3 linked regions of the Kluyveromyces lactis genome follow. The protein of the gene in region 1 purifies or fractionates together with the protein of each later gene. This does not show direct contact. Links are inferred from orthologs where the notes say so. Each region holds a gene or a part of one and is shown on either strand. Other genes may lie near its edges.

Region 1 (3,758 bases):
AGGAAGATGGTAGATTATCGTTTGATTATCCCGGTCGTCTGCTGGCGTCACTATCTTATTTTACTCTAGAATTCAGTCCGTATTTTTTAGATACCTTTTGTCGTTTTATGTATACGTTTTTATACCCTATCAGTTTTCTTGCAAATTCCATACAATCCTGGAACACAGAGCTATCGGCAGAGCTTGCAACTTGATAGCTTATAAACAGGGCCATTAATGTTTCTGGTTTTCGAATGGCTTAAGTATCTATAACCCTTGAGGCATAATTTTTCAGATAGATAAACTTCGGAAATAGAGCAACACCTGCCAAATGAATCAGGTTTACTGGCTCATATTGGTGGTACTAATCCACGCAAAAATCTTGTGTCATGCACAGGGTATAACAGTGACAAAATACAACACTGTTCGAATAATAAGAACGAAAACCGTCTCAACGACAACACATTTCACAACTTCAAGAACAATTGTTTACAGAACAGCCTCCGGCACCTTCACGGAACAAGTGTCCACAAAACCAACGGCCACGGACCCGGATTTCAAAACGGAAATCCTGGACGTGCACAACTCATTACGCAAGAAACATCAGGTTTCATCGCTAGTTTGGGCTCCAGAACTTGCATCTAGAGCACAAAATTTCGCCAATTCTTACGTATGCAACGGGCAATTAGAACACTCAAAGCTGCCTTACGGAGAGAACCTTGCTCTAGGATATAATACTACCTCAGCTGTTCTAGCATGGTATAACGAGGTAAAACTGTACGATTTTAACAACCCACAGTTCGCAGCAAATACAGGACATTTCACCCAGCTGGTATGGAAAAATACCTCGAAACTTGGCTGTGCATTTATACGATGTGGCCAGTATTACGGTCAATATACAGTATGCGAATACGACCCACCGGGGAATGTAATCGGAAAGTTCAGTGAAAATGTCTTACCCGAGAAGTAAAATAGAAAACTGTCCGATGACAGAAGACTTGATAAGCGTTGGTTGATTCTTTCCCTTGCAAATCACGAACTCAGGGTAACCAACACTTCTCCTTTCTTTTCACGGGCTTTCACACGATTTGGATCGTTGTTCTTTTCGAAGCTTCGACAATATGAAGAAATAAGAAGTGAAATTCAGTTAGAGAAAAGAAGGTTTAAAATATAAAAATAGTTAAACTTTGAATCATAGATACCGGTTTCAAGCCACCTAGATTAGCCGAATAAGTGAATTGTGGGATCAATTGGTGTACTATAGAATATACTCAACCGTTTTTCTGTATCATAGTCGTGTGTGTTTGCTTTTTCTCTTTTATTTCCTGTGCTTAATACTCAATCACTCACTATATTGAATATTAGTTAAGGGTATTTGTTTGTTTGTTACTGATTTTTTAGTTTTTGATTTACTGCTTTGTTATAACCGGACCTTCCTTTATTTTCAATAATGTCTGAAATCACTCCTGATGTTGCTGAAGATTATTCTCAAATCGTGGTAGATACGCCACCTTCTTCTGCTGATGATTCGTCGAAATTAGCTGGCCAAACAATTGAACAAACTGAAAAGTCTAATGGTGAAGAAGCTGCCACTGCGCCAGCGGTCAAGGTTTTATTTCCAAGATTGGGAGGAAATGCTGCTGCGTCTGCTTCTGGCAATGCTGTCTCCTGGGGGTCTACTCTGAAATCAGGTAGCTCCGTTAACAGTGTCTCTTCTCTTTCCCATGGCAAAAACGGACGTGCTTCTTCACCTGGTTCTGCTAAGCCATTGCGTTCGAGAAACATTCAGGAAGTGTTCTCGCTAGACTTAGATGCACAATACCAAATCACAAAGACCGAATTCTCCAGCATCGTTCAGTCTGTTAAACAAAAGTACGATGTCTCTGTGGAATCCACACTATCAAAGACTTCGCGTACTTTCTTGATCTCTGGTTCTTCTGACAAGATTGGTCTTGCTAAGAGAGAGTTGGTCAAGAAGTTGACTAAACCTGTCAATGTGACTTTTGAAGTTCCTTCAAAAACTAGATCTGCCATTATCGGATCTGGTGGTAAGACCATCAGAGCAATCTCAGATGCTGCTGGTGTAAAAATCGTGGTTCCGAAGGAGGTTGATGAGGGTACCTACGATTCAGATTTGGAAGACTATTCAGTAACCATCTCTTTACACGGCGATGCTGAATCTGTTCTCGTTGCAAAGAGTAAGATCTTGGACGTCGTGAAGGAGGAAACTAAAAACGCCAAGATTGTTCTTCCTGTCGAGGACTCCAAGTTGGTTCCCTTCATCGATCTAGAATCAGTTGAAATTCCAGCTGATGTAAAGGCGCAGCTGTTTACAAACAATGACCCCGCTGAAATCGCATTAAATGGTCCTCGTGATAATGTTAAATTGGCCAAGGTTAAGGTGATCAACTATTTGAACGAATTGGGTCTAAAGATCGTGGTGAAAAAGGAAAAGGTCCCATTCAAATTCCATCCTTTGGTAAAGCCTTCAGAATTGAATGAGAAGTTCCACGTCGAAGTACAAGCTCCAAGTATTTCCGGCGATGATCAATTCGTTTTCATCGGAAGCTCTGACAACGTCAATGAGGCCATCGTGTACGCTAAGAACTCATCTAAATTCCATACCGTGGAATCATTGGAAATTTCAAAAGCTCATGGTAAAAACGTTAAACATGCTAAGAACTTGATTCTATACTTCCAAAAATATAACGTCTTAGATCAAATTACCGAAGACTTCCCACAAGTGCAAGTAGTTTTACCTAAAGTGGAAAGTATTCCAGCATTGGAATCCGTCAGTATTACCTTAATTTCAAACAACGATGCCGCAGACGCTATCAAGACCGTTCGTAAACAAATTGTAGCTTTGGTTAATGAATTATCTCCAGAACAAACGTTAACTATTTCAGATTTGGATTATCATCTATTCCACAAGGACATCAAGCAAATCTTGGTCTCGACTGAAAGTGATGTCCCATTCATTCAATTGGGTGACTGTTTCCCAGGTAATGACGATATCTTACTAATCACCAAGATCAATGAAGATGATTTCAAGCCATCTGATGATGAACTAAAAGTTAAGCTGGAATCGGTCAACCAACAATTGGAACCAATCAGAAAGAAGCAAAGCCTTTTAGCATCCAATGTTGTTTCCCTTGCCAAAAAAGAACAGGATGAACTACTCGGAGAATCAAAAGTCACTTTGAACTTGATCAATGAAGCTGTTTCTCATGCTGGCGCTCATGCTTTAATCAAGTTGAGCACCCCTTCAGTCAACCAAATTACTATCAGAGGTGATGACCATGGATGTAAGATTGCTTCCGCTGCTGTCAAGTCCATCGTCGAGAATTCATCAACAGAATCCAAGATCACATTCCAAGTTCCAACCAATGTAGTTTCGAGATTGATTGGTCCAAAGGGTGCTAACTTACAACAAATTCGTGAAAAGTTTGACGTTCAAACTTTCATCCCACAAGATTCTAAGGATGAGAATACCGATGTTACATTGACCGGTTTGCAATACAATCTTGACCAAGCGAAAACATATATTCTAGCAGAAGCTAAAAAATGGTCCGATATTATCACTAAGGAATTAATCGTCCCTATGAAGTACCACCGTACATTAAGTGGACCTCAAGGCACTTATCGTATCCGTTTGGAGAACAAGTACTCCGTTTTCATCAGATTTCCTAAGGACAGTGAGTTAGTCACCATCAGAGGTCCATCTCGTGGTGTCAAAGCCGCTTATGATGAACTGAAGGCTCTTTTGGACTTCGAAATTG
Region 2 (3,438 bases), on another chromosome or scaffold:
GCCAGCTGATGTCATCATGTTTAGTGGTTCAAAAGATAATCAAACGTCGGCTGATGCTACTGAAAATGGTCAAAACACTGGTGCAATGTCCTGGGCTTTCTTAACAGTACTATCAAAACAACCTCAACAGTCCTACTTAAGCTTATTGCAAAATATGAGAGCCGAGTTAAGTAGCAAATACACTCAAAAGCCCCAATTATCTTGTTCGCATGAAATCGATACCAATCTTCAGTTCCTACTATGATATTGGAGTCTTAATCTTATTGCAATCAAGTATACGATGGTATTATAACGTGCTTTCTTTAAAAGATTATATAAGAATATCCAAACATAAACCTACATATAATCAATTCAGTTTCTGTTTAAGATGCTAATATAATTTAGAAGTCATGGGGGTCATTTTGTTATGAGGACACTCCAGATGAAACATTTTAATCTTTTCCAGCCGATAAGTTTTAATATGTACTTGAAATACAAGAATGAAAAAGGCAAGCAGTGGACAACAGAAAAAAATAAGTCTCGTATCTACATCAGTTAAGCTTCAGTTGGGACAGCGGCATCAGCGGCAGCAGCGTCCTCCTTTTCCTTTTGTTCCTTCAATTTTTTGGCTTCAATTTCTTCCTTAACTTTCTGTTCTTTAGCTTCGTACTCTAAGTTAAGTTTCTTGAGCTGTTCTTCAGCTTCTGCAATGTTCTTTTCAGTAGCTTCTGGTTGCTTGGCAGTCAAGTCCTCATGCTTAGCCTTCAACTGTTCAACAGTGGCTGGAACATCGCCCTTGGATAATGGTACTCTGATATCTAATTCGGCCAACAAGGCGATCATGGATGGCTCTAGAGAGAACTTTGTAGATTGCGCCTTCTTCTTGTGTTTCTTTGATTTGGAAGCGGTTGAAGCGGAGAAGAATCCTTCTCTTTCCTTAACGATTGGCACTAACCCTTCAGAATCAACAGTCTTAGTTGGGGTGGCAGTTTGTTGAGATGTGCTACCGAAATCGATACCCAAGACGTTCTTCACTGGCTTAACGTAAGTTGGATCCAAAACAGTCAACATATTCTCAATGGATTCCAATTCGAAGGTGAAAGCAGGCTGTTTGGCATGGTTTAGTCTTTCTTGTAGCTTGCCCACTTTTTCTTCCTTATCTTCTAAGATCTTGGATAGTTTTTCGTCTTCTTCACGTTTCAAACGCTGCTCATCCAACTTCTTCTTGAATGACTTGAATTCGTTGTCGAAATCACCTCTGATCTTCCTAATTTGAGTGTAGATTTCGTCACGCTTGTTGTACAAGGCAGAACGCTTAGTGATTAAAGTCTTTCTCTTGTCGTAAACAACTTGGTTCTTAGAGTTTAAGTTATTGATCTGACCTTGGATAGTTTCGAACTTTGCGGCAACCTCCTTCGGGTTAGAAGCGTTCAATTCCTTCTTCAAAGCATCAATTTGTTCTTTCTCTTCTTCGATAGATTTTCTAATTGGTTCCACAACTTGGAAATCTTTGGACAATTTGTGCAAACTTTGCATTTCCTTGACTCTTAACCTTTCCTCCACCAAGGATAAGTCACCAGAAGCGATTTCATCGTCAATTTCAGCCAATCTTTGCTTGATTTGACCAACATTTTGGAACTTCTTGTTCTTACCGACCAAATCGTTGATCTCACCAGATTTACGTTTGATTTGAGCATCCAAGAACTTAATCTGGTCATGGATTTGTTGTCTCTTAGCCTTCAAGTCCGATTGAGTTTTGATCACTTCCTTCAATTCACCTTGCAGCTTTTCCTTTGAATTCTTAGCATCTTTGGAGAAATCGGTATTATCAATTTGTTGCTTGATCAATGATAATTCTTGATCAATCTTCTTCAACTGAACATTCAATGGCTCTAGCTTCTTGTCTCTGACAGTAACATCAGGTTTCTGAATATGTTGTTTTGGTCTAGCAGTGGACATCCTTGTAATATATTATTATTCTATGGTTATTCACTTGGTCACCTGGAACTAGCAACTGAAACAAGTAACACAAAACAGACTGGTGGAAAAGGTTACAGTTAAAAAGAAAACTTTAAGTATAGAAATGGTAACTTAATAACACTAATTGAACTGAAAAAATACTGTCTCAATTAACGTATCTCAAACACAACCTTTGTAGATCAAGAATTTGATTCTGTTCAAGAATCTGAAATTTTTAACACGTTTGAATAATTTTTCAACGTTCAATTAAAAAAATATCGAATCTTTCCCAAAAGCTTTTTTTTTCTGGAAGACACCACGAATCTTCTTACAGATCAACAGTGCTCTCAGACGGATCGGACCTTTTGTGTGTATTATTCCCTCCGGAACATGACAAAGCTTGAGCTTCAATCTGGGTAGACAATATATTCTGGTCATTTACAAATTTTCGTTTACTACACAGCTTCTCATCCTTCTAATTAAGTTTCCTACTCTTCCATTGTAATACGTAGGTGATCCTCAGCGACAATTTCCGGTTACTGTCGTTTGAGATTTTTCTATATTAAATAAAACTGGGACATTTCTCTCACAGTGTGTTAGTTCATTGCAAAGCTTCAACAAATGGAATAAGAAATGGACAACAGCAGCAGCCTACTGTGTCACTATTGGTAGCATCTCGAATCGCGTGTCTTTCGTATAAAAGTTTCCATTATTTGGCCGATACCGAAATGCAAACAAAAAAAAAATTAGATTTAACGAACAATTTAAAAGAAGAAAAGTTGAGCTCATTCTGCTTTAAAGAATCTTCGAAAACCATCTTGCGGAATAAAGCTAAGCGTATGCATCCTGTAGGACGTGCAGGAATTTCAAACTGAACCTTCACTTAGCGGACCAACAGAAGAGATGTCAACTCAAACTTCTACCTATGCGGACCTTGTGCATTCATTAGAACAAGATGACATCTTAGAAAAGTTTCCTGAGGTCATCCCATTGAACAACAGACCAAATACACATTCTACTGAATCCTCTGGCGAAACGGATAATTTGCTAGATGGATATGATGAGGAACAAATCAGATTGATGAATGAAAATTGTATAGTTTTGGATTGGAACGATACTGCGATTGGTGCTGGTACAAAAAAACTATGTCATTTGATGGAGAACATCAACCAAGGTCTATTACATCGCGCATTTTCTGTGTTCCTTTTTGACAGCGATGGTAAATTACTATTACAACAACGTGCCACTGAAAAGATTACTTTTGCAGATCTTTGGACCAACACATGCTGTTCACACCCTTTGTGCGTCGATGACGAACTTGGACTGAACGGCTCTTTGGAAAGTAAAATAGAGGGTGCCAGAACTGCAGCAGTTAGAAAATTGGAACATGAACTAGGTATCCCACCACAAGAGGTTGAATCTAAAGGAGAATTCCACTTTTTGAACCGTATTCATTACATGGCTCCAAGCGATGGTGCTTGGGGAGAACACGAAATTGAT
Region 3 (3,437 bases), on another chromosome or scaffold:
AGACCAATGCAGTTGATAACTTGTTGTATATAGAGTCATGGACTGTGTTCAAATTTGGTAGATGTATGAGTATACATTTAACACTGATCAAGACCACTGATGGATTTACGTGTTGCAAATGTGGAACAACTCTATCGATAATTTCTTGAGACTCCATAGGGTCAATTGGTTTGTGTTCGCTCAATGACTCCAAAATAGTGATTCTTGCCCATTCTGTACATTCGTTCAACACGTTCAAAAACCTCTTAACGTTTTGAGATACTAATTTCTTGATATCTATTGAACCAGGGTCCAATTCGTTAATTTCGTGCAGTGCGGCAAGCGCGTTGGCAACAACCATTGGATTATCGTCAGACAAAGCGTCTTGCAAATCGTTCAATACGCCCAATTCACGGCATAGGTCCGGGTTCAATTGGAACAATTTTGCAACGCATAGTACCGCGGTTCTTCTCACGTACGGATTATCATCGACTAGAGTCTTTCTTAGCGGAATCTCAATGTATTCCAAGATCTTATCAACTCTGATCATCGACATGGTACGGATTGCCATAGACCTAATCAATGGGTTCGGATCAGCTGCATCGCTGACGAATGTGTTCACGACAAGGATGCATAACTCCGGATGAGTTTCTGCATAATTAGCCACGTAAAGGTATACCAATTTCTTCTGTTCAATGTCTTGAGTGGCTATATTCTTCAAAACGTCGGGAAACAAAGATGAAACATCTTTGCCGGAAGTCATCTGTTGAATAATCTTACGGATCGCGTCCTTTCGGGTCTGTGGGTACTGAGATACTAATCCATTTCGTAGTTCAAACAATTCACCTTTATTGGAAATCTTAGGAGCCACTCGTATGGCGTCTCTTAAGAACTTCTTGATCTTCTTATCAACACCCATTGTTTCCCTTGGTATTTATGAGAAAGCAGAGCAAGCAATTGGCTGGAGGAAGGAAGACTAATCGCTTGGGGACAGAGTCTTGAATATAAACAGGTTCATCTATTTATATACAGATTCCAGTTAATTTGATTGATGTTTTCTATGAATACTGGAAAGTGAAAGCTTGCTGGCGAGGTCACGTGTGTGCTCACGTGTATCGGAAGATTCCGTAACCCGGACATCATATGATGTCCGGGTTACGGTATTGAGAGATCTCACTTCCTAATAAGAATGGTTACTACCTGATTAGGGAAATTGCTAAGGGAGATTCACACTTCTGCGTAAATTCTTACGCACCGCAGTGTGGTGTACTGATATACCCGACTTTTTATAAAAACACAGTCCTCAGAGTTGCCAGACCAAAAGATACGCGCGACACCCTTACACCATTCAGCGTACCACTCAGCACGCACCACGCACATTGAAAAAAAATTCTTTTCTAGCCAAAGCTCATCACTTGAATATTGAGAAAGTATTAAGAACTTGATATAACTTGCAAGAGTTTACTGCATTAGTATTAAGCTATCAGTTCTTGTTGATTGAAATTGTTATCTATTCTCTTCTTTTGATTCATCAGAACAACACATCTCAAGGAATTAACTGAAAAGAAATGTCTTCCAGCAATATTATGCTTGTTTTGAGAGGTACCCTAGAAGGTCACAACGGCTGGGTCACCTCTTTGTCTACCTCTGCTGCTCAACCAAACTTGTTGGTTTCTGGTTCCAGAGATAAGACTTTGATCTCCTGGAGATTGACCGAAAACGAACAACAATTCGGTGTCCCAGTTAGATCTTACAAGGGTCACTCTCACATCGTTCAAGATGTTGTTGTCTCTGCTGACGGTAACTACGCCGTTTCTGCTTCTTGGGATAAGACCTTGAGATTGTGGAACTTGGCTACTGGTAACTCTGAAGCTAGATTTGTTGGTCACACCGGTGATGTTTTGTCCGTTGCCATTGATGCTAACTCTTCTAAGATTATCTCTGCTTCCAGAGATAAGACCATCAGAGTTTGGAACACTGTCGGTGACTGTGCCTACGTCTTGTTGGGTCACACCGACTGGGTTACCAAGGTCAGAGTTGCTCCAAAGAACTTGGAAGACGGTGAAGTCGATGACGGTAGAATCACTTTCGTTTCTGCTGGTATGGACAAGATCGTTAGAGTATGTGCCAGACTTTTTTCTTTTATTGCATTGCATTGCATTGCCTATCTCCCGATTAGATTGATTTACCTTGGAATTCAGGTCCTCAGTTGTTTCCCCGTAATATATTCTCAAAATACATGGCTCAATTCACTATACTATGACAAATGATGTTTCTTATATTTGCTACTTCAGACGTAACCTTACATGGTTTCGAATGAGACATACTAATTATCACCAAGATCTCTGATGTCTTTTTAATTAGTGAATTAAAATTTTGAATTGAGTTTTGTGCATTTGAATATCATGGAGCGAGCAATTTGGGCCTGTATTCCCAGATATATCTCATGGCTTTGAACCAAATATCATTTTTACTAACAATATTTTGGGAATTATCTTCCATTCCCCTTATTAACTACAGTCCTGGTCTTTGAACGAAGACTCTTACAGAATCGAAGCTGATTTCATCGGTCACAACAACTACATCAACGTTGTTCAACCATCCCCAGATGGATCTCTAGCTGCTTCTGCTGGTAAGGACGGTCAAATCTACGTCTGGAACTTGAAGCACAAGAGCGCCTTCATGAACTTCGACGCTAAGGACGAAGTCTTTGCTTTGGCCTTCTCTCCATCCAGATTCTGGTTGACCGCTGCTACTGCTTCTGGTATCAAGATCTACGACTTGGAAAACGAAGTCTTGATCGACGAATTGAAGCCAGAATTTGCTGGTTACACCAAGGCTCAAGACCCACACGCCGTTTCTTTGGCTTGGTCTGCTGATGGTCAAACTTTGTTCGCCGGTTACACCGACAACGTCATCAGAGTTTGGCAAGTCATGACCGCCAACTAAGTTGTAGCAATTTAAAATCTCTTAATTTTGCTTTTATTCCCTACAATTTATTCTTGGTCGTCGTCATTACCAATAAATCATAACATAAATCCCTTATGTATATATTAGTTATACAAAAACTTACATTATAATATTAGATCTCCCCTCGGTTAATCTGTCTTATAAGAGTTCCGATATTGTTATCTTAGCTTATTATTATGTTTTCAATGGTTTCTACCTATACATGCATAATATGCATTTCGGTTAGGCAAAACCGTGGCACAGGGCTATTCCAAGGGCAACCCGGTACCTTAGCTTCCCTTTCTTCATATCACCCTTTCTTTCTCTCTCTTCCTGGCGAAAACGCAGAAACTCGTACTCTATCTATAATGGCAATTCTATTTACTTTTTGAACTTTTACCGTTCACTTTAAACCTCTTTGCAAAATATTCCGTTTCAATTAAAATTTTTCATATTAACAAACTTAAACTTACATTAGCTTAGGTTGGACTGGACTTGGTTCTTCTACT

The links.
Region 2: the proteins of SCP160 (region 1) and BFR1 purify together in Saccharomyces cerevisiae (affinity purification with western blotting; 6 studies listed by BioGRID, with this or other methods). This does not show direct contact. The link is inferred for Kluyveromyces lactis from reciprocal best matches to the Saccharomyces cerevisiae genes SCP160 and BFR1.
Region 3: the proteins of SCP160 (region 1) and ASC1 purify together in Saccharomyces cerevisiae (affinity purification with mass spectrometry; 3 studies listed by BioGRID). This does not show direct contact. The link is inferred for Kluyveromyces lactis from reciprocal best matches to the Saccharomyces cerevisiae genes SCP160 and ASC1.

Annotation. Positions count from the first base shown.
Region 1 is NC_006040.1:203,735-207,492, reverse strand, and holds the start of SCP160 (Scp160p), read left to right. Parts: upstream 1-1,429; coding exon 1,430-3,758. Other genes in the region: KLLA0_D02420g (CAP domain-containing protein), read left to right, coding at 311-949. UniProt on the Saccharomyces cerevisiae protein: Involved in the control of mitotic chromosome transmission. Required during cell division for faithful partitioning of the ER-nuclear envelope membranes which, in S.cerevisiae, enclose the duplicated chromosomes.
Region 2 is NC_006042.1:82,792-86,229, forward strand, and holds BFR1 (Bfr1p), read right to left. Parts: upstream 1,939-3,438; coding exon 535-1,938; downstream 1-534. Other genes in the region: Ca(2+)-dependent cysteine protease MCA1, read left to right, coding at 1-244; isopentenyl-diphosphate delta-isomerase IDI1, read left to right, coding at 2,842-3,438. UniProt on the Saccharomyces cerevisiae protein: Implicated in secretion, nuclear segregation and in maintenance of cell size.
Region 3 is NC_006041.1:1,085,231-1,088,667, forward strand, and holds ASC1 (40S ribosomal protein RACK1), read left to right. Parts: upstream 1-1,547; coding exon 1,548-2,099; intron 2,100-2,240; exon of another isoform or gene 2,241-2,332; intron 2,333-2,499; coding exon 2,500-2,928; downstream 2,929-3,437. Other genes in the region: APL2 (Apl2p), read right to left, coding at 1-898. UniProt on the Saccharomyces cerevisiae protein: Component of the ribosome, a large ribonucleoprotein complex responsible for the synthesis of proteins in the cell.